5 linked regions of the Cricetulus griseus genome follow. The protein of the gene in region 1 interacts with the protein of each later gene in a pairwise test. Links are inferred from orthologs where the notes say so. Each region holds a gene or a part of one and is shown in the gene's direction. Other genes may lie near its edges. The genes, in order: Akt1, Cep76, Arnt, Ppl and Tcl1a.

The links.
Region 2: the proteins of Akt1 (region 1) and Cep76 interact in binary tests that used the Homo sapiens proteins (3 or more experiments, as listed by UniProt). The link is inferred for Cricetulus griseus from reciprocal best matches to the Homo sapiens genes AKT1 and CEP76.
Region 3: the proteins of Akt1 (region 1) and Arnt interact in a protein complementation assay, tested with the Homo sapiens proteins (2 studies listed by BioGRID and IntAct, with this or other methods). The link is inferred for Cricetulus griseus from reciprocal best matches to the Homo sapiens genes AKT1 and ARNT.
Region 4: the proteins of Akt1 (region 1) and Ppl interact in a two-hybrid assay, tested with the Homo sapiens proteins (2 studies listed by BioGRID and IntAct). The link is inferred for Cricetulus griseus from reciprocal best matches to the Homo sapiens genes AKT1 and PPL.
Region 5: the proteins of Akt1 (region 1) and Tcl1a interact in binary tests that used the Homo sapiens proteins (3 or more experiments, as listed by UniProt). The link is inferred for Cricetulus griseus from reciprocal best matches to the Homo sapiens genes AKT1 and TCL1A.

The regions. Positions count from the first base shown.
Region 1 is NC_048598.1:181,392,295-181,395,813, forward strand, and holds part of Akt1 (RAC-alpha serine/threonine-protein kinase), read left to right. Parts: intron 1-2,876; coding exon 2,877-3,005; intron 3,006-3,519. UniProt on the Homo sapiens protein: AKT1 is one of 3 closely related serine/threonine-protein kinases (AKT1, AKT2 and AKT3) called the AKT kinase, and which regulate many processes including metabolism, proliferation, cell survival, growth and angiogenesis.
Region 2 is NC_048595.1:171,774,408-171,777,926, forward strand, and holds part of Cep76 (centrosomal protein of 76 kDa), read left to right. Parts: intron 1-626; coding exon 627-812; intron 813-3,076; coding exon 3,077-3,174; intron 3,175-3,519. UniProt on the Homo sapiens protein: Centrosomal protein involved in regulation of centriole duplication. Required to limit centriole duplication to once per cell cycle by preventing centriole reduplication.
Region 3 is NW_023276806.1:61,036,224-61,039,742, reverse strand, and holds part of Arnt (aryl hydrocarbon receptor nuclear translocator), read left to right. Parts: intron 1-2,823; coding exon 2,824-3,037; intron 3,038-3,519. UniProt on the Homo sapiens protein: Required for activity of the AHR. Upon ligand binding, AHR translocates into the nucleus, where it heterodimerizes with ARNT and induces transcription by binding to xenobiotic response elements (XRE).
Region 4 is NC_048600.1:41,609,837-41,614,000, forward strand, and holds the end of Ppl (periplakin), read left to right. Parts: intron 1-999; coding exon 1,000-3,663; downstream 3,664-4,164. UniProt on the Homo sapiens protein: Component of the cornified envelope of keratinocytes. May link the cornified envelope to desmosomes and intermediate filaments. May act as a localization signal in PKB/AKT-mediated signaling.
Region 5 is NC_048598.1:189,490,418-189,492,573, forward strand, and holds the end of Tcl1a (T-cell leukemia/lymphoma protein 1A), read left to right. Parts: intron 1-1,069; coding exon 1,070-1,240; intron 1,241-1,598; coding exon 1,599-1,655; downstream 1,656-2,156. UniProt on the Homo sapiens protein: Enhances the phosphorylation and activation of AKT1, AKT2 and AKT3. Promotes nuclear translocation of AKT1. Enhances cell proliferation, stabilizes mitochondrial membrane potential and promotes cell survival.

The DNA.
Region 1 (3,519 bases):
TGCTGTTGGCTGGTTTTGTTGTTCAACGAGAAGCTGTTGTCAGGCATCTGGCCTCAAGAACCATGGGGACCACACTGTGGAGGTGGCACCTGGTTATTTGTCATCTGTTCATGTCTGTGTGAACACGGGCCTGGTGAGGAAACTCCAGGTGGAGCACAGCACCTCTAGTGGGCCGTGAGTACTTGTGTTCCCAGAGGCTGTGTGGACAGGTGGAAGGCCCCAGCTGCTGCTGCGCTTCACCAGCTGGACTCCGCCTTACCTGTTTTCAGGGTACCAGGCATCCAGATGGGGTGAGGGAGTAGAGAAGAGCCTGGATGGGCCAGAGCCTAGCACTTCTGCAGGGGCTCAGTATCAGTCCCTCCTTGTTGGAGTGTGAAAAGCTGGAGGGAGGCCCCAGAAGGGGGCAGGGGTATTCCTAGATACCACGTGGCCATGAAGGACCAGTGTAGCCACCTCTTGTATTTGTCTGTCATGTGTTGGCACAGTTCTTTTGGAGGGGTGGGGCTTGGGGTCTGTCTGGACTGAACTCATTAACATGCAGGCCACATCCTAGGCTGCAGCTGGCTTAGCTGGTACCCCCAGTGACCATTTGGCTAGACCTTGAGGCCGGAGATGAAGAAAGAGATCTGTGTGTCAGAACTGTGGCTCCCTTTCCTCTGGAAGAGGCCGCCACCGGGAAAGACCTGATGAGGTCACTTCACTTTACATTTCTCCTTGGCCAGGAGGCCTCTGTGAGGCCAGGGAGGGGAAGGGCACCTAGGCCCTTCTGGGTACTTGGCTTTCTCTGCCTGGTGAGTGTCCCTGCCTGTACCTCCAGGTCCACATTCTGGAATCTGCCTGGCCTAGGGGCTGGTCATGCAGGCTAAGAGCCAGTTGTAGATAGGGTGGTGGTCTTGTCTGGGGGCCTGCACTGGGCACAGTGGGGTGGGCAGCAGTTGGTAAATCAAGATGGATTTCTGGGGTGCGAGTGTGTTGCTCATCAGCCTCCGTACTCAGTTAGTGTCCCGGGGAGCAGCAGCTGGTGAGATGGAGGCACTCCATCAGGGGCCGACAGCTCCAGACTGGTGCTGGCGGGTGGGCGTGCACAGCGGGGGCCTAGGGAGGAACGGGGTGGGGGGGCTGCTCACCCCCCATTGGCTCTGCTATATTACCCAGGGCCCCTGCCTGCCCACTGAGCCTTCGAGGCCCTATGCCAGGGGAGGGGCTGTCATGGGGCCACTGGCCATGTGAATACTGCAGGTGTGTGCCACCTGGTCAGAAGCCAGGCTGGTGCCTGCAGGGGTTCAGGGGTCTTCGAAAACCTGGATGGGAACCCTGTTCTGTGTTTTTGTTGTGTAGGCAGGTTGCTGAGCCTTAGGCCCTCCTGAGTGAGGGAGGGTTGGCATTGGTCATTGCTTTGAAGCCCCCAGTGGCTGTGGGAAGTGGCCGGCTGGGGAGCTGAGCTTCTGGGAACTAAAGATGGGAGGCAGGAATGGGTTTCCAGGTGTCCTAGTTCCAGCTACTTACGGACTGTAGGCCTTTGGAGAGAAGCAGAATAATCTAGCCTAGGCCCTGGAGGACCACCAGGCACATTTGGGCACATGCAATGGAGTCGGGAGGAGCTCGAGCTTGCTCTCTTTGCTGCCCCTCTCCATTGTGAGGCTGGGGTCTTTGTCAGTGCTGATGGCAGGCTTAGGAGATCTGCAGTGACGAGGGGACAGGATCCCTAGCTCTAATAGCTACCAGCTCCCTGGAGTGTGTGTGGGGTGTTGGCCTGGTAGTGGCTCTATCACTTCTTCTCTCACCAAGAGCCTTTGTCCGTCACTTAGGCTTTCTCTTATCCTGATTCATGCAGGGCTGTGTAGGGTCATGCAGAGCAAGGCTGGTGTCGGAAATGCCTCCAGGGTGTCAATTGAAAGGGACTAGACGGTGGAGTCGGGGGAGGTAGGTCATGTGAGGAGTCTGGCAATATACTGCCCAGAGCCCCTACTTCGTGTACCCTGGAAGGCCCTGAGAGTCTGAGCTGGTGAACTATACTGGGTAGACTGTATCTCACCTGCACGTGTTCTCAGAGAACACCTGGATTTAGTACATACCATGAGAGGGTAGAGAAGGAAAGCTAGCTAGCCTCCCTGGGGCTGTGGAAAATGCGTTAGGTGCACTGCCTGGTGCCTGAGACCAGGGTGTTTGTCCTTGTGACTTGGTCTGCATCCTGGAGCACCTGGTGGCAGGTGGCCTGGTCCAAACAGTTGCTCCCTGCATACCCCTCTAGGTGCTCTTGCTCAGGACTCAGTGGGACAAGCAAAGTTCATCTCAGATAGAGCTCAGGGACCCCAGCCCTGTGGGCTGCCCCTCCTGTCCTCAGTCTAGTGTCCCCTCAGATGAAGAAGTTGCCTAATTAGTTAGCTCCCTGTTGTTCAGACTCCTTGCTCGGCAAAATGTAAATGAAACATTTTTTCCGGGTGTCAGTATGAAAAATGACAGTCGCTGGGAGATCACAGAGGACATCTGCTCTGATGTCTGAGTGTGGTGCCTGCTTCTGGCTGATGCTGCAAAACTGGAGGAGGGAACAATGTTCCTGTGTACCTGGGTGACCAGGGCAGGACTCAGCTGGACACAGCACAGGTCTCAGCTAGGACACACACGTGCGCACGCGCGCACACACACACACGCGCACACTCGTTCCAGCCATGGCACCTCTTGACTCTGCTGCACAGGCAGAGCCCTGGAAGATGCTCCCAGCAACATGCACTGGAGCTCTGCCCCAGTGCCAGTGCCTTCTGGGAAGGAAGTGGCCCAGATCCCTTCCCTACCTCTATGTGCCTAGGTCCTCTCAGGTGTCAGGGCCACTGCAGTGTTGTTCACATGCAGCTCCTTATGCCCCCCCCCCCCCGCAGGGGAATACATTAAAACCTGGCGGCCACGCTACTTCCTCCTCAAGAATGACGGCACCTTTATTGGCTACAAGGAACGGCCTCAGGACGTGGAGCATCGAGAGTCCCCCCTCAACAACTTCTCAGTGGCACGTAAGTGTCTCGGCCATTTGGGTTGAGTGAGATGGCTAGGCAGGCCAGCAGGTTTTGTCCTGGGGTGCTGGGCAGTGCTAGCTTTGAGTCACCTCCTCTAGAGCTGGCCAGTGGCCAGCTCTGGCTGGGCCAGGGAGCCCTTGCTGTAAGGCTGAAGGTTCCAGCATGTGGTGACTGGACCTGGTTTAGAGGGTGGGTTGACCAGGGTCCCTTTAATGGGGACTAAACAGGCACTCAAGGACATTCACTGGGAACTCTTGGGTAGACTGAGAAGAAGGTTCCCAGTTCTAGGAGCCTAAGACATCCTGGGAACCATTTCTGTATTGTTTCCTGGGAAGACCATTGGTAGTCCTTTGCCCTGGGTCTTGTGATCGCCTTAGCTGGAGTGCCAGGATTGGTGAGGGTTATAAAGTTGAGGATATTGTGAAACTATCTTTGAGAGCGTGGAGCTTGAGAATCTATGTCCTTGTTCTCTGTGTCACATTGTGACAGCCCAGTTCTGCCTGGGACTGGT
Region 2 (3,519 bases), on another chromosome or scaffold:
TTTAGGTTTCTCTTTTTGGTGTGTATGTGGAGTTTTGAGGTGGGTCTCACTATGTAGCTCTGACTAGCCTTGCACTCACAGACCCTCCCTCCTCTACTTCCAGAGTGCTTGGATTTAAGGTGTGTGCTAACTCATTTAGCTGATGGCCTTTTCTTTTGTAATAGTACATAATATAAGTTCTTTTGAAGATTAGACTTTTTATGGATCAGAAAGTACTGACTACTGTAAGTAACATAACTAAGTAACTTCTAAATAATTCATCTTATTCTGCTAGTCCTGGCAGTTGTCAGTCATAGAATGGGGTGATATTCTTCCCCCAGATTCTGGCATACTTTGAGAGACCTTACTAAATTATTTCCATCATATGTAAGCTTATTTAGAATACTTTTCAATAAAAGTGTGTGTGTGTGTGTGTGTGTGTGTGTGTGTGTGTGTGTGTGTGTGTGTATACACCCCAGTTCTCTTATATGTACACATATGTGCGTGTGGTGCTGGGTATGGAATCCAAGGCCTCGGGCATGCTAGGCAGTCACTACCACTTAGCTATATCCTCAGCTTGTAAAATGATTCTGTGTTACTAAGTAATACGTAATATAGTGTGTTTTTTCTTCGGTTTGTGTTGTTAGGTGATGGGACTAGAATGGCTGATTCAACAACAATGTTATCCATAAGTGATCCAATTCACATGGTGCTGATCAAAATAGACATATTTGGTGAGACTACTTTAGTGGCATCCTATTTTCTGGAATGGAGATCAGTTTTGGGCTCAGAAAATGGAGTGACCAATCTGACTGTGGAACTTATGGGTGTAGGTATGATGATTAATGTCACTTTCACCTTTTTATAAATACTGTTTGTTGGCAAATTTATTTTATATCAGTCAAAAGGGCTTTACAGGAGGGAGACTTGTAAAACAGGCTTTCATCAGAATTTCAGTGGTAAGTTGGCTTAGGGAATAGCTGGAAGAATAATGCCACCATAGTTCTTCAAAGTCAGTCTTTCTTATCCTGAGGAATTTTTTTTTTTTTTAAGATTTATTTATTTATTATGTATACAGTGTTCTGCCTGCATGTATGCCTACATGCCAGAAGAGGGCATCAGATCTCATTATAGATAGCTGTGAGCCACCATTGGGTTGCTGGGAATTGAACTCAGGACCTCTGGAAGTGTGCTTTTACTCTGAACCATCTCTCCAGCTCCAAAGAATGTTTTTTGTCTGCAAAATGAATGGAAATTCTGGAGGTTCAACATTTTGTTGTTGTTGTTGTTAAATATAAGGTTATAAAGAAAAGCAGGATTCTTTTAAACATATGAATAGGTGTATGCATAAGCTTCTTTCTGGTATGTCCTAGAGTACAGCACATCACCGTCGTCACCACACTGGTTCTTGGAGGGGGTGGGTTATGGGTTTTTTGTTTGTTTTGTTGGTTATGGCCAGAATCTCACAGTGTATTTTGGGATGTCCTTGAGTTCCCTCTACAGAACAGTTGGCCTGCCTCATGCTAGGATTATTGGCATGTACCACCGTGCCAGCTTCATACCAGTGGTTATTGACGAATGAGTAGATGTTCCTCTAGTTCGTTATTATGGATAGGTAAAATTTGAAAGAGTTGCTAACTTGGTCAGTGTCAGTAGCAATGAATAGTAAAGGACAGAGGTTGTACATTATCTTACCATTATTTCCTTGGATTTTGCATACTGCCTACTATGTAATATGTATTAGCTCATAAAAAGAGGAAAACAAAAACCCACTAATGTTTTATCTATAACTTATAATGTAATTGTATTGGTATTACAACTTATTCATACAAGTTAAACTTGGGGATAGCATGATGGCTCAGTGGGTAAGATGATACACAAGTAGAAGGAACTGAGTTTGTCTCTCCAGCACCCACAAAAAAAGCTGGGCATGGTGGCATGCATCTGTAATCCCAGGTCTTGATGGCGGTAGAGACATGCAGATCCTGGGATCTCACTGCCCAGCCAATCTAGCTAATTGGTGAGCTCCAGGTCAGTGAGAGACTTTTGTCTTAAAAGCTAAGGCTGAGAGCAATAGTGGAAGTGGCCCCACATCAGCCTCTGGTCTCCACACTCTTGTGAATGGGCAAAGCCATTTACATAATGTGCATGCACTCATACAAAGAAAAAGAAAAAAAGCTAAATTTGGTCAGTTGACAGCAAAGCATTCAGAATTTAAGTCAGACTCAAAATATGTCTGTACTTAAATAAAAAGAACTAGTATTCTCTTTACACATGAGATTTGTTTTTTAAAGTGATTTCTGGTTCTTTGTCTTCAAAAATAGACCTGGGCCTGGAGAGATGGCTGAATGGTTGAGAACACTGGCTGCTTTTCTAGAGCACCCATATAGTGGCTGACTGCTGACTGTTCGTTAACTGCAGTCCCTGGGGATCTGGCCTCCAAGGACACTGCATGCTTTAGGTGCATAGACAGATAGACAGACAGACGGATGGATGGATAGATAGATGCAAATAGGTCTAACATGATAATCATAACAATGACCTGGAAATAAGTATATACCGATTTGGTTAAGAAATATTGAATAGTTTTATATACATATATGTTTGTATGTTGTATATATAGATCATATATAGTTGAAAACTTGATAAGAAAGGGTAGATGGAATTACTGCATATGGTAAAAAGTTGGGATACTTTCTGATTTTCATGGAGACAGAATGGGCTCTTAACAATTGCTTTGGTTTTGTACTTAATGTAGCATCTAGTTGGAATTATATACATTAAATTATATATTATATTAAAGATATAAATTTAAGAATTCTAAATCCACAAGGTCAGAAAAGTTCCTTAAAATGTTTTTAGAAAGCTTTAGTAACAAAGAAAAAAATCAATTTGATTTGGTTCATTTTAAAAAGTTTGATTCATTTTTAATATGAATATTAAGTGTAATGTTGAGTATTATAACTCTACTTAAGTCATAAAGTACATCACTCCTAAATTATGTTGGTTAGACTTTGGTTGACTAAATACACATAGTCCTGAAAGTTCTTTGTTTTAAATAAGGTTTAAGTAGAGTTTTAAATATTTGTATTTATAGGAACAGAATCAAAAGTTTCTGTGGGAATTTTAAATATAAAACTTGAGATGTACCCACCACTCAACCAAACACTGTCTCAAGAAGTAGTGAACACACAGGTAAGCCAGTTTTTCTTTTGTACATTGCTTTAGTTGTAGGAAATATTTACCCTAGAAAGTATTGTCTTTTTAGAAAAAACAATAACATTGCTGTTTAGATTTGTACTAAAAGAATTAACCAAAGGGATGGGGAAAGAACTATTAAGCTGGGACTGGTGATACAGTTAGTGGTAGTGCTTGCTAAGCATGTACAAGGCCCTGGCTTTTAGCAAACTCCAGGACTGGAATGTGTGTATGTGGGGGGGTGTCACAAAGTGGAAGGGCATTGGAGTAGCAACATGGGGTGATATTTTAAAAGGCTTTATTGCATTTGCATGTGTTTTGTGTGCATTGGGGGTGGGTGAT
Region 3 (3,519 bases), on another chromosome or scaffold:
TTTTAGGTATTTTAGAACTTGAGTTGTACATACAGCCTGTAATGTGAAAGAAGGAGGCAATTTCAGAGAGGTTACCACATGTATGGAACCAGGATTCCTTGGGTTTGGATTCTGGAACATGGAAGAAATCTGTCTCAGCCCTGAAGCAACTTCCAGTTTTAACAGGAGTCTAACAGACAATCCCTGTTACTCTGTGATATGCTCTGTTACATTTGATATACACATGAAAACAGAAATACTTCCTAGAACCCCGGAACTCCATCTAAGAGCTATGGCTGTAGCTCCTTGGTAGAGCACTCACCTCCAGTGCTGGAGGCCCTAGGTTCAGTCTCCACTACTGCCAGAAGAAAGATTAAATTTGAACATAGTAAATATGTGAGTGGTAACATACGTAAATGCAAAATGATGGAAAGAGGCATATGGAGAGCAGATGGCTTCTTTGTCAATATTTTGTGTGTGATAACTATGTAACGGTGGGATGTCTAAATTTATTTAGTCTCTACACTTGAATGAGAGTGCCTATGGCTGACAAATTACATTTCAATTAAAAATCTGTGATTGGCCAGGGCATGGTGGTGCATGCCTTTAATCCCAGTACTAAGGAAGCCAATTCCAGCCTGGTCTACATGGAGAATTCCAGGCCAGCCAGAGCTACATAGCAAGACCCTGTTTCAAAAACAAAAAAGATACATGATAGTTCATACCTAGAAAGCATAAAGCCCCGAGTTTGTTCCCCCAACACCATATACAACTGGATGTGGTACCCCATAACCTGTAATTTCAGCACTAGAGTAGGAGTAAGAAGTTGAAGCCATCTTCCTAAGGGCTAACCTGGTATACATAAGACCTTCTCCAAAATAAATATATATACACATGCAATGTGTGATTACTGTGGAAAGTTTTAGAAAATACAGGCATTGTAAAGAATAAGGTAAAGGACATTTACTGTTATATCAGCATGTTCATCTAAGAATTATAGGAATATGGCTTGAGAGAAAGGAGTAAGTTCTCCAAATAAGGTGGTCTATTTGCTAGCACATGGAGCACATTTAATAGCTATGCACATAAACATACTCAGTTTACTTCCTTAGAATAGGTGCAGGAATTGATTAAACAGACCCCAGGTATGCTGCTTTTGTGGCAAATCAGATACTTTGTGATATAAGAAATATAAAGAATGGTAAAAGATCAGTGGTAGAAACAGATATGTAAATTGATAACTCAGAGCAAAGCTAGTGTTACAACAGAGGAACAGTAAATGAGCCTTACAGGAACATAGATAAAGAAGGAGAGGAATTAGGTGCTGGGCATGGTGGTACACTGCTTTAATCCCAGCAGTCAAGATACAGGCCATCTCTGTGAGTTACTTTCAATTAAATGATACTTGGAAATTATTGGGGGAGGGGTGTGGTGGCCTGGTGGGAAGATTCAGAGGTGTGAACTTGTTTTTTTTGTTGTTGTTTTGTTTTGTTTTGTTTTTTTTTTTTGAGACAGGGTTTCTCTGTGTAGTCCTGGCTGTACTGGAACTCACTGTGTAGATCAGGCTGGCCCTGAACTTGCAGAGATCCACCTGCCTCTGCCTCCCAAGTGCTAGGATTAAAGGCTTGCGCCACCACTGCCTGGCATGGATTTGGGTTTTATTTAATGGTGTAGAAACATGAGTATAGATTGTGAAGAGAAGATGATCAGAGAACAGGACTTAGGAAATGTCTGCATGTAACATGTGAACAAAGGGAGAGAACTTGGAGCAGAAATGGAGTTTCGGAAGATGCTAAGCAAAAAGGAAATTTATAGAGTGCAGTGGGTAGTATTATCAGATTGTGGAGAGAGATTGAATTTAAAAAAATGATGAGGATCCAGGAAAGGGACCCGAATTGGCAATTAAGAAGATGCAAGTAAGTAAACCCCTTAAAACAACAAAACAAAGATGGTGGTTTAGAGTGAAGATTGAGGAGTAATTGACAAGCAAGAGAGAATAGAACCATTGAGTGTAACATGCTCTCTCTGCTTTTATCCTCTTTAATCTACCCTCAAAATGACAGTAGTCTAATTATGTGTTTATGGTTCATTACTGCCTAAAAATTATACCTAAATCCTTTAATGATAACAACATACCCTGGACAAGCTGAGGGAAGATTTATATAGAATTAGGAAATTTTTGTGTTTATAAGCTTGAATGGAAACAGGGAAAGTGAAGTGATCCTAAAAAGAGAGCACAGAGGATGGGACCAACAAGTCTACTGTTAGAGGCTGGGGTGTACCTCACTTGACAGAGTGCTAGCTAGCGTGCTCAAAACCCTGGTTAATTTGACATCCGTACAGTCGGGGTGGTGCTGGCCACCTGGACTCCCAGGACCTGGTGGAGACAGGATGACCAGGAACTCACGGCATCCTTCACTAGGTAGCAAGTTTGAGTTCAGACTGATCTACATGAGAACCTGTCTTCTTGTGTTGTTTTTAAGCCAGTTATTAGCTATATGTGTTAGTTCTAATTCCAGTTCTTGAGAAGCCAAAGCTAAATGATTGCCATGAGTCCAAGTCCCCTGCCCCCTTCTAAGTGTCTCATTATTGTAAGCCTTTTTATTTTCCCTTGAGTATTAAAAGAAAGAGGTGTCGTGTCTAGCAACTTAGAGAAATAGAATACTTATTGTAAACACTTTGCCAGTGGATATTTAGGGTGGGAACCCGTGGCTTGGCTGAGGTATGACCTTCAATTCCTAATGGAGCAATGCATATATACCAAAGAATCTTGCTGCTTTCCATGACTAGAAATACATGATTTTTCAGAGTTCACTATTAACTTTGAAATATTTTCTTGACCAGGAACTGAAACATTTGATCTTGGAGGCAGCAGATGGCTTTCTGTTTATTGTCTCGTGTGAGACTGGCCGAGTGGTTTATGTCTCTGACTCGGTGACTCCTGTTTTGAACCAACCACAGTCTGAATGGTTTGGGAGTACACTCTACGATCAGGTGCACCCAGACGATGTGGATAAACTCAGAGAGCAGCTTTCTACGTCAGAAAATGCTCTGACAGGTGAGAGTTGGGTGGATAGCAAATGAGTGGGGGAAAAAAGTCTTCATTTTGCTGAGGCATTAGAGACATTTAATTCCTTTCATTGATTTGTCGAATCTGGCAGAAGCTTATAAAAAAACTTCCCTTAATGAATATACTTGTTAAATTTTATTCACATGCAGAATATCCACTGTGTGGCTCATTCTTAGAAAATGTTTCATCAGTGGTTAGGTTAATTTGTATCTTAATTATACTGTAAATAAAATAGGGAAATTAAAATGTACAGTAGTTTCTTTCCCCTGTGTTCACATAATAAAACAATTATGCATGTATTTCATCTGTTACCTGGCATTTTTTTCATACACACTTGTCCTTGACTTTCTGCTAGGTTCTATTAGAGAATGGTTATCGGTCAGTGTATAAGGTACTTGGTTGTTGTCATTGTATGTTTACTGTGTCATTCTCCCCTCCACCATTTAAATGAGATTCACTCCTTTGCCAAC
Region 4 (4,164 bases), on another chromosome or scaffold:
CCTATTCAAAGTTTTTTTGTTTGTTTGTTTGTTTGATTTTTTACGAGTGTTTTGCCTGCTTGTATGTATGTGTACCACATGTGTGCCTGGGGCCCGAGGAAGTCAGAAGGCATTACATCACCCAGAACTGGAGTTTCAGATGGTTGTGAGCCACCATGTGAGTGCTGAAAATTGAACCTGGGCCCTCTGTAAGAGCAACACGTGCTCTTAACCTTCTAGTCATCTCTCTAGTCCCCAAAGTTATTTTTAATGGTATGTTTGTGTATGTGGATTCACATTATGTGCAGGTGCATGTACATGCTCATGTGTGTGGAGACAAGAAGGTTTTCTATTGACTTGGAACTTATCAATTAAGTTAGACTAGTTGGCCAGCAAGCCCCAAGGAGCTTCCAGTCTCCACCTCCTGGGTGCTGGGATTACAAGTGCATACACACTAGAGCACCACACCCAACATTTTCATATCATGGCTAGGATCAGAACTCAAGTGCTTGTTCTTCCAAGGACTTGATCCTTCCAACCCCAAAAATTACCTTTTAGGACCTGATGACATTTATAACAGATTTATCTGACACATCCAGAAACTAGCAGTAACTCAGCACTCCTCAGCAGTGTGGTGGCTTAAACCATGTCGACACAGGGGAAACACTGCTGTTAAGCAATGATGTGGCACCTTGAGCAAAGATGGTACTCTGCCCCTCCAGTCACTAATGGCACTGTCTGCATAGAAAAAGTAAACGTGGAGGTCACTAAAAATATACATTGAAAATGTCTCCAAGGACAACAGATACTCCTAGGGTCAGGGCAGAGGTAAGGAGACTGGTGTCACTTCAAACTTCTCTGTGCCTACAAAATTTTGCCTTGTTCAATTTTTAAAAGAGTAAAAGTAACTCTAGAAGACCAATGGAGTCCCCAGAAGACCACAGGACAACTAACCCAACCTGTTTAGGTGAGCAGACCGGCTTGTCTCTAACCATACATCCATTGTCTTCTTTGCCATAGCAGCCAGAGGCAGGAGTGACCCATGAGACCCTGCAAGGGGGCAAGCTGGGCTCCAGCACGGAGGAAACATGGAAGATTAAGAAGGAACTGGAAGAGGAGATGGAGCGAAGGCAGCAGCTGGAAAATGAGGTCAGGAGTGCCCAGGAGGAAATCCAGACCCTGAAGGATCAGGGACCTCAAGAGTCACTGGTGAGGAAGGAGGTGCTGAAGAAGGTGCCAGACCCCACCCTTGAGGAGAGCTTCCAGCAGCTGCAGCAGACCCTGGCTGATGAACAACACAAGAACCAGCTGTTGCAGGAGGAGCTGGGAGCACTACAGCTTCGGCTGCAGTCCCTAGAGCAGGAGACCAGGGATGGGGGACAAGAATATGTGGTCAAGGAGGTCTTGCGCATTGAGCCAGACAAAGCCCAAGAGGATGAGGTCATGCAGCTTCGGGAGGAGCTGGAGGCACTGCGGCGGCAGAAAGGTGCCCGAGAGGCTGAGGTGCTCCTCCTACAGCAGCGTGTGGCATCCCTGGCTGCTGAGAAGAGCAGAGTGCAGGAGAAGGTCACTGAGAGGGAGGTGGTAAAGTTGCAGAATGACCCTCAGCTGGAAGCAGAATACCGAAGGCTGCAAGAGGAACACCAGCAGGAAGGCACACTCAGGGAGAAGCAGGAAGAGGAGCTGAGTTTCCTGCAGGCCAAGCTCAGAAGACTGGAGAAAGAACGGGCCATGGCAGAAGGCAAGATCACCGTCAAGGAGGTGCTCAAGGTAGAGAAAGATGCAGCCACAGGGAGGGAAGTCAATGACCTCACCCGCCAGTATGAGGATGAGGCTGCCAAGGCACGCACTGGACAGCGGGAGAAGACAGAGCTTCTCAGAAAGATATGGGCACTGGAAGAGGAGAATGCCAAGGTGGTGGTACAGGAGAAGGTCCGAGAGATCGTGCGACCAGATCCCAAGGCAGAGAGTGAAGTGGCCAACCTCCGACTGGAGCTGGTGGAGCAGGAGCGCAAATTCAGAGCTGCTGAGGAGCAGCTGAAGAGCTACCAGAGTGAGTTGGAGGCCCTCCGGAAGCGTGGGCCACAGGTAGAAGTCAAAGAGGTGACCAAAGAGGTCATAAAATACACGACTGACCCAGAGACAGAGCAGGAGCTCCAGCGGCTCAGGGAGGAGATCATGGACAAGACCAGGCTAATAGAAAGGTGTGACCTGGAGATCTACCAGCTGAAGCAGGAGATCCAGGCCCTGAAGGACACCAAGCCACAGGTGCAGACTAGAGAGGTGGTCCAGGAGATCTTGCAGTTCCAGGAAGACCCCCAAACCAAGAAGGAGGTAGAGTCTCTGCGTATAAAGCTGTCAGAAGAACAGAAGAAACAGGTGGACCTAGAAGGGGAGAGGGCATCCCAGGAAGAGAAGATCCGATGCAAGGAGGAAGAATTGGCACAGGGCAAAGAAAGGGTTGTACGCCAGGAGGTGGTGCAGTACGAAGATGAGCCAGACTTAAGAGCTGAGGTGACTGCCTTCACAGACAGCATTGATGCTGAGCTTCGACAGATCGACAAGCTACGTGTGGAGCTGCGGAGGCTACAGCACCGCCGAGCAGAGCTGGAGAGGCAGTTGGAGGAACTGGAGCGTGAGCGGCAGGCACGCAGGGCAGCTGAGCTGGAGGTGCAGAGGCTGCAGCAGCGGCTGGCTGTACTAGAGCAGGAGGAAGCCAAGGCTGGTGAGAAAGTGACCCACACACAGAAGGTGGTGCTGCAGCAGGACCCACAGCAGACCAGGGAGCATGCCCTGCTCCGAGCCCAGCTGGAGGAAGAGCGGCATCGGAGGCAGCTACTGGAGGGCGAGCTTGAACCCCTTCGTAGAAAGCTGGCTACCCTGGAGAAGACAGAGATCAAGGAAAAGGTAGTCTTCTCTGAGAGCATCCAGGTGGAAAAAGGTGACACTGAGCAAGAGATCCAGCGGCTCAAGAAGAGCCTGGAAGAGGAGAGCCGGAGCAAGAGGGAGCTAGATATAGAGATTACCCGGTTGGAAGCCAAGTTATCTGAGTTAGAATTCTACAATTCTAAGTCATCCAAGGAACTAGATTTCCTGAGAGAAGAAAATCACAAGCTGCAGCTAGAGCGGCAAAACCTGCAGTTGGAGACCCGGAGACTCCAATCAGAGATTGAAATGGCAGCAACAGAAACTCGAGATCTGAGGAACATTACAAAGGTGGACTCTGGAACCCACCTCAACTCTAGGCTGTGGTCTCTAGAGAAGGAACTGGATGACCTCAAGAAGATGTCCAAGGACAAGGATCTGGAGATCGATGAACTGCAGAGGCGACTGGGCTCTGTGGCCGTCAAGAGAGAGCAGAGGGAAAACCACCTGAGGCGCTCCATAGTGGTCATTGACCCTGACACAGGCCGAGAGCTGTCCCCAGAGGAGGCCCACCGGGCTGGGCTCATCGACTGGAACATGTTTGTGAAGCTCAGAAGCCAGGAATGCGACTGGGAGGAGATATCAGTGAAAGGCCCTAATGGGGAGTCATCAGTGATTCATGACAGAAAGTCTGGCAAGAAGTTCTCTATTGAGGATGCCCTGCGTAGTGGAAGGCTAACCCCTGCTCAGTATGACCGCTATGTCAACAAGGATATGTCCATTCAGGAGCTGGCAGTCTTGGTTTCTGGGCAGAAGTAGGCCTCTTCTGCCTAGCTTTTCCTGGAGGGGGATGGCTGGCTTGCTCCTACTCAGCAACCTCCTGGGTATCTTCTGTTCCCCAGTTGTCATGCAGGCTTCTGAGCTAAGTGTTTTATCCACACTGTATCTGGCTGCTTACAGAGCAGCTATTGTAATACCAGCACAGACACCAGCTGGGCAGGCAACTCAGCTCAGCATTGTTCAGTATGAGTGAGTGACATGCTCCCACCTTTCATGATTTAATAACCTTGATATTTTCTTCTTTCCCTTTCCTATATGCTCCATCATCAGTGGTTGTAACTGGAAACTACAGCACAAGAAAATATTGCACATACACTCACAAAAACAGCACGGGCTTTAGCATATCACACAGTAATATTGAGGGCAGAAGGCCTCCTTTCTGCCTCTTTCTATTTATCCAGACTGGGTCACTGGAGCTGCTGGCCCTCCTCACCATTTCAGCTTTCAGGCTGGGATCAAACTATGAGCAGTGCCTGCTCA
Region 5 (2,156 bases), about 8.1 Mb from region 1:
TGTAAAGACAGTAAGTGTAGAAATAGTTGCCATGGCCCAGGAGAGCTGTGCCAGCGATGGGCAAACAACGCCTGTCACCAGAATCACAGTGTTAGAAATGGGTGTGGGGGCGTCTCAAGAAAATGACCACACAACCCAAAGCATTCAGCAAGACAGAAAGTTATACTTCCGTAGGTTGTGCAGCTGTGCCACAGGGGTCCTGAGTCCCATTCTGGTTGGTCAAGAGTTCAGCCTCTTCACAGTTGAATAACTTAGAGCTGTGCAGTCCACAAGCAAAGTGTAACTTTGAAAATAGGACACAACCTTGAGCACAGACTTTGATCTTAGAAATATGCTGACTGGAAGGGGATTTTCTTTTGCTAGATAGCCTCTTTAGAGATGGAGCTTCATCTCATTTAACCCTCTGATAGAAAAGACAGTGCGTTTTGTTTACAGTTCCCACAGGGGTCCATAGATAGACTGGTTCCTCCCTTGAAAGAGGGCATTGGACAAAAGCAAAGTCAAAACCCAGGCAGGGCTGGAATAGAGTTGGTAAAGTGCTTGCCTTGCAAACGTAAGGTCTTGACTTCAATCCCCAGAGTTCAAGTTTGAGAAACCGAGTGTTGTAGATGTTGCTAGTAATTCAGCACTGGGGAAGCAGACCTCTGAAGCACGGTCACTGACCAAACAGCCTCGCTTTGTGTGTGTGTTTGTGTGTGCCATGTGTGCCCATGCATGATCCAAGCCAATAAGAGACTTTGTCTTAAATTAATAAGTAAATAAGTGAAAGGAAAAGTGGATGATGCCAAAGAAATGACACCTTAAGGTTCCCTCCCCCCACACCTATAGGACCAAGTTGAAGGACTCGGTGGCTTAGCAGTAGGAGCGTTGGCAGGAAAAAGTGCACCCTCAAGGATGGCTAGACCCTGCCAGAGTCCCTAAGATTGTGTGTAGCCTGTGGAGTTGAAACCAGGGGCAGTAACTGCTCAGTGTATTGGGTCAGTGATAGGATGGACACTGGGTGTTGTGCCTGAGGGAGCCTGGCAGTGGTAAGCAAGAGGTGAAGGTGTGTTTTGTTCTTCCTCTGCAGACTGATGAAAAATTCCAGGTGATCTTGCGCCAGCAAGACGTCCCCTTGGGGCTTGCTATGATCCCTGAACAGCTGGAGGCATACGAGCTGCCTTTAATGTGGCAACTATACCCAGGGAAAAAGTACAGAGGCAGTGACTCCATGCTCTGGCAGATACTGTACCACATCAAGGCAAGCACAGCTTATCCTACGGACTGAGTGGGTAATCTCCAGTGGTCCTGCTCTCAACTTGGGGTTGGCTTGGGTTATCCCTCCATCCTAGTACCAGAAGCTAAGCTAATGGAAGGGGAGCTAACTGCAGATTTTTGTTTTTAAATGGGTTAAAGAAATAGAAGAGGCTATCTTCTGAGGTCTCAACCAAACTCCTTAGCACAAGGAGCTCTGTGGTAGTCACTGACTGAGACCAGTGGAGAGGGCTAGCCCCTCAGGTCCCAGTGCTGCCCCAGGCTAAAGAAAGCTAAGCCAGCATAGAAGGGGAGTTCTTGGGGCTGGGTCTGATCACTCTTGTCTCTCTCCTTCCCCACCTTAGTTCAGAGGCGTAGAAGACATGCTACTTGAACTGATGGAGTCTGAAGAATATCCATGACATGGTGAGTGCACCGGGGCTCCATCAGGAAGGAGTAGTACCCTTTTCCATGAAAGCCATGCCGGCTCCTCCCCAGCAGCTGTCCTCAGAGAGAGCCCAGGGTGAGGCAGGCTTCCCAGAAGTGTCCATGTCTCTTCCTTTACCCCCCTAGGAGCTACAGCTACAGCCGTGTTCATGGGCCACCACAGGTTACCGTTGTTTATGATCAGTTGTCACTGTGTGACTTTTTTTTTTTTTTAGATTTTATTTATTTATTATGTATACAACATTCTGCTTCCATGTATATCCGCACACCAGAAGAGGGCACCAGATCTTATAACATCCGGATGGTTGTGAGCCACCATGTGGTTGCTGGGAACCCAACTCAGGACCACTGGAAGAGCAGTCAGTGCTCTCAACCTCTGAGCCATCTCTCCAGCCCCCATCACTGTGTGACGTTTACAGAGGCAGATTTCTCCATCTTACCCATTCTCCTCACTGGGTTGGTGTTTGCCTTGGCCC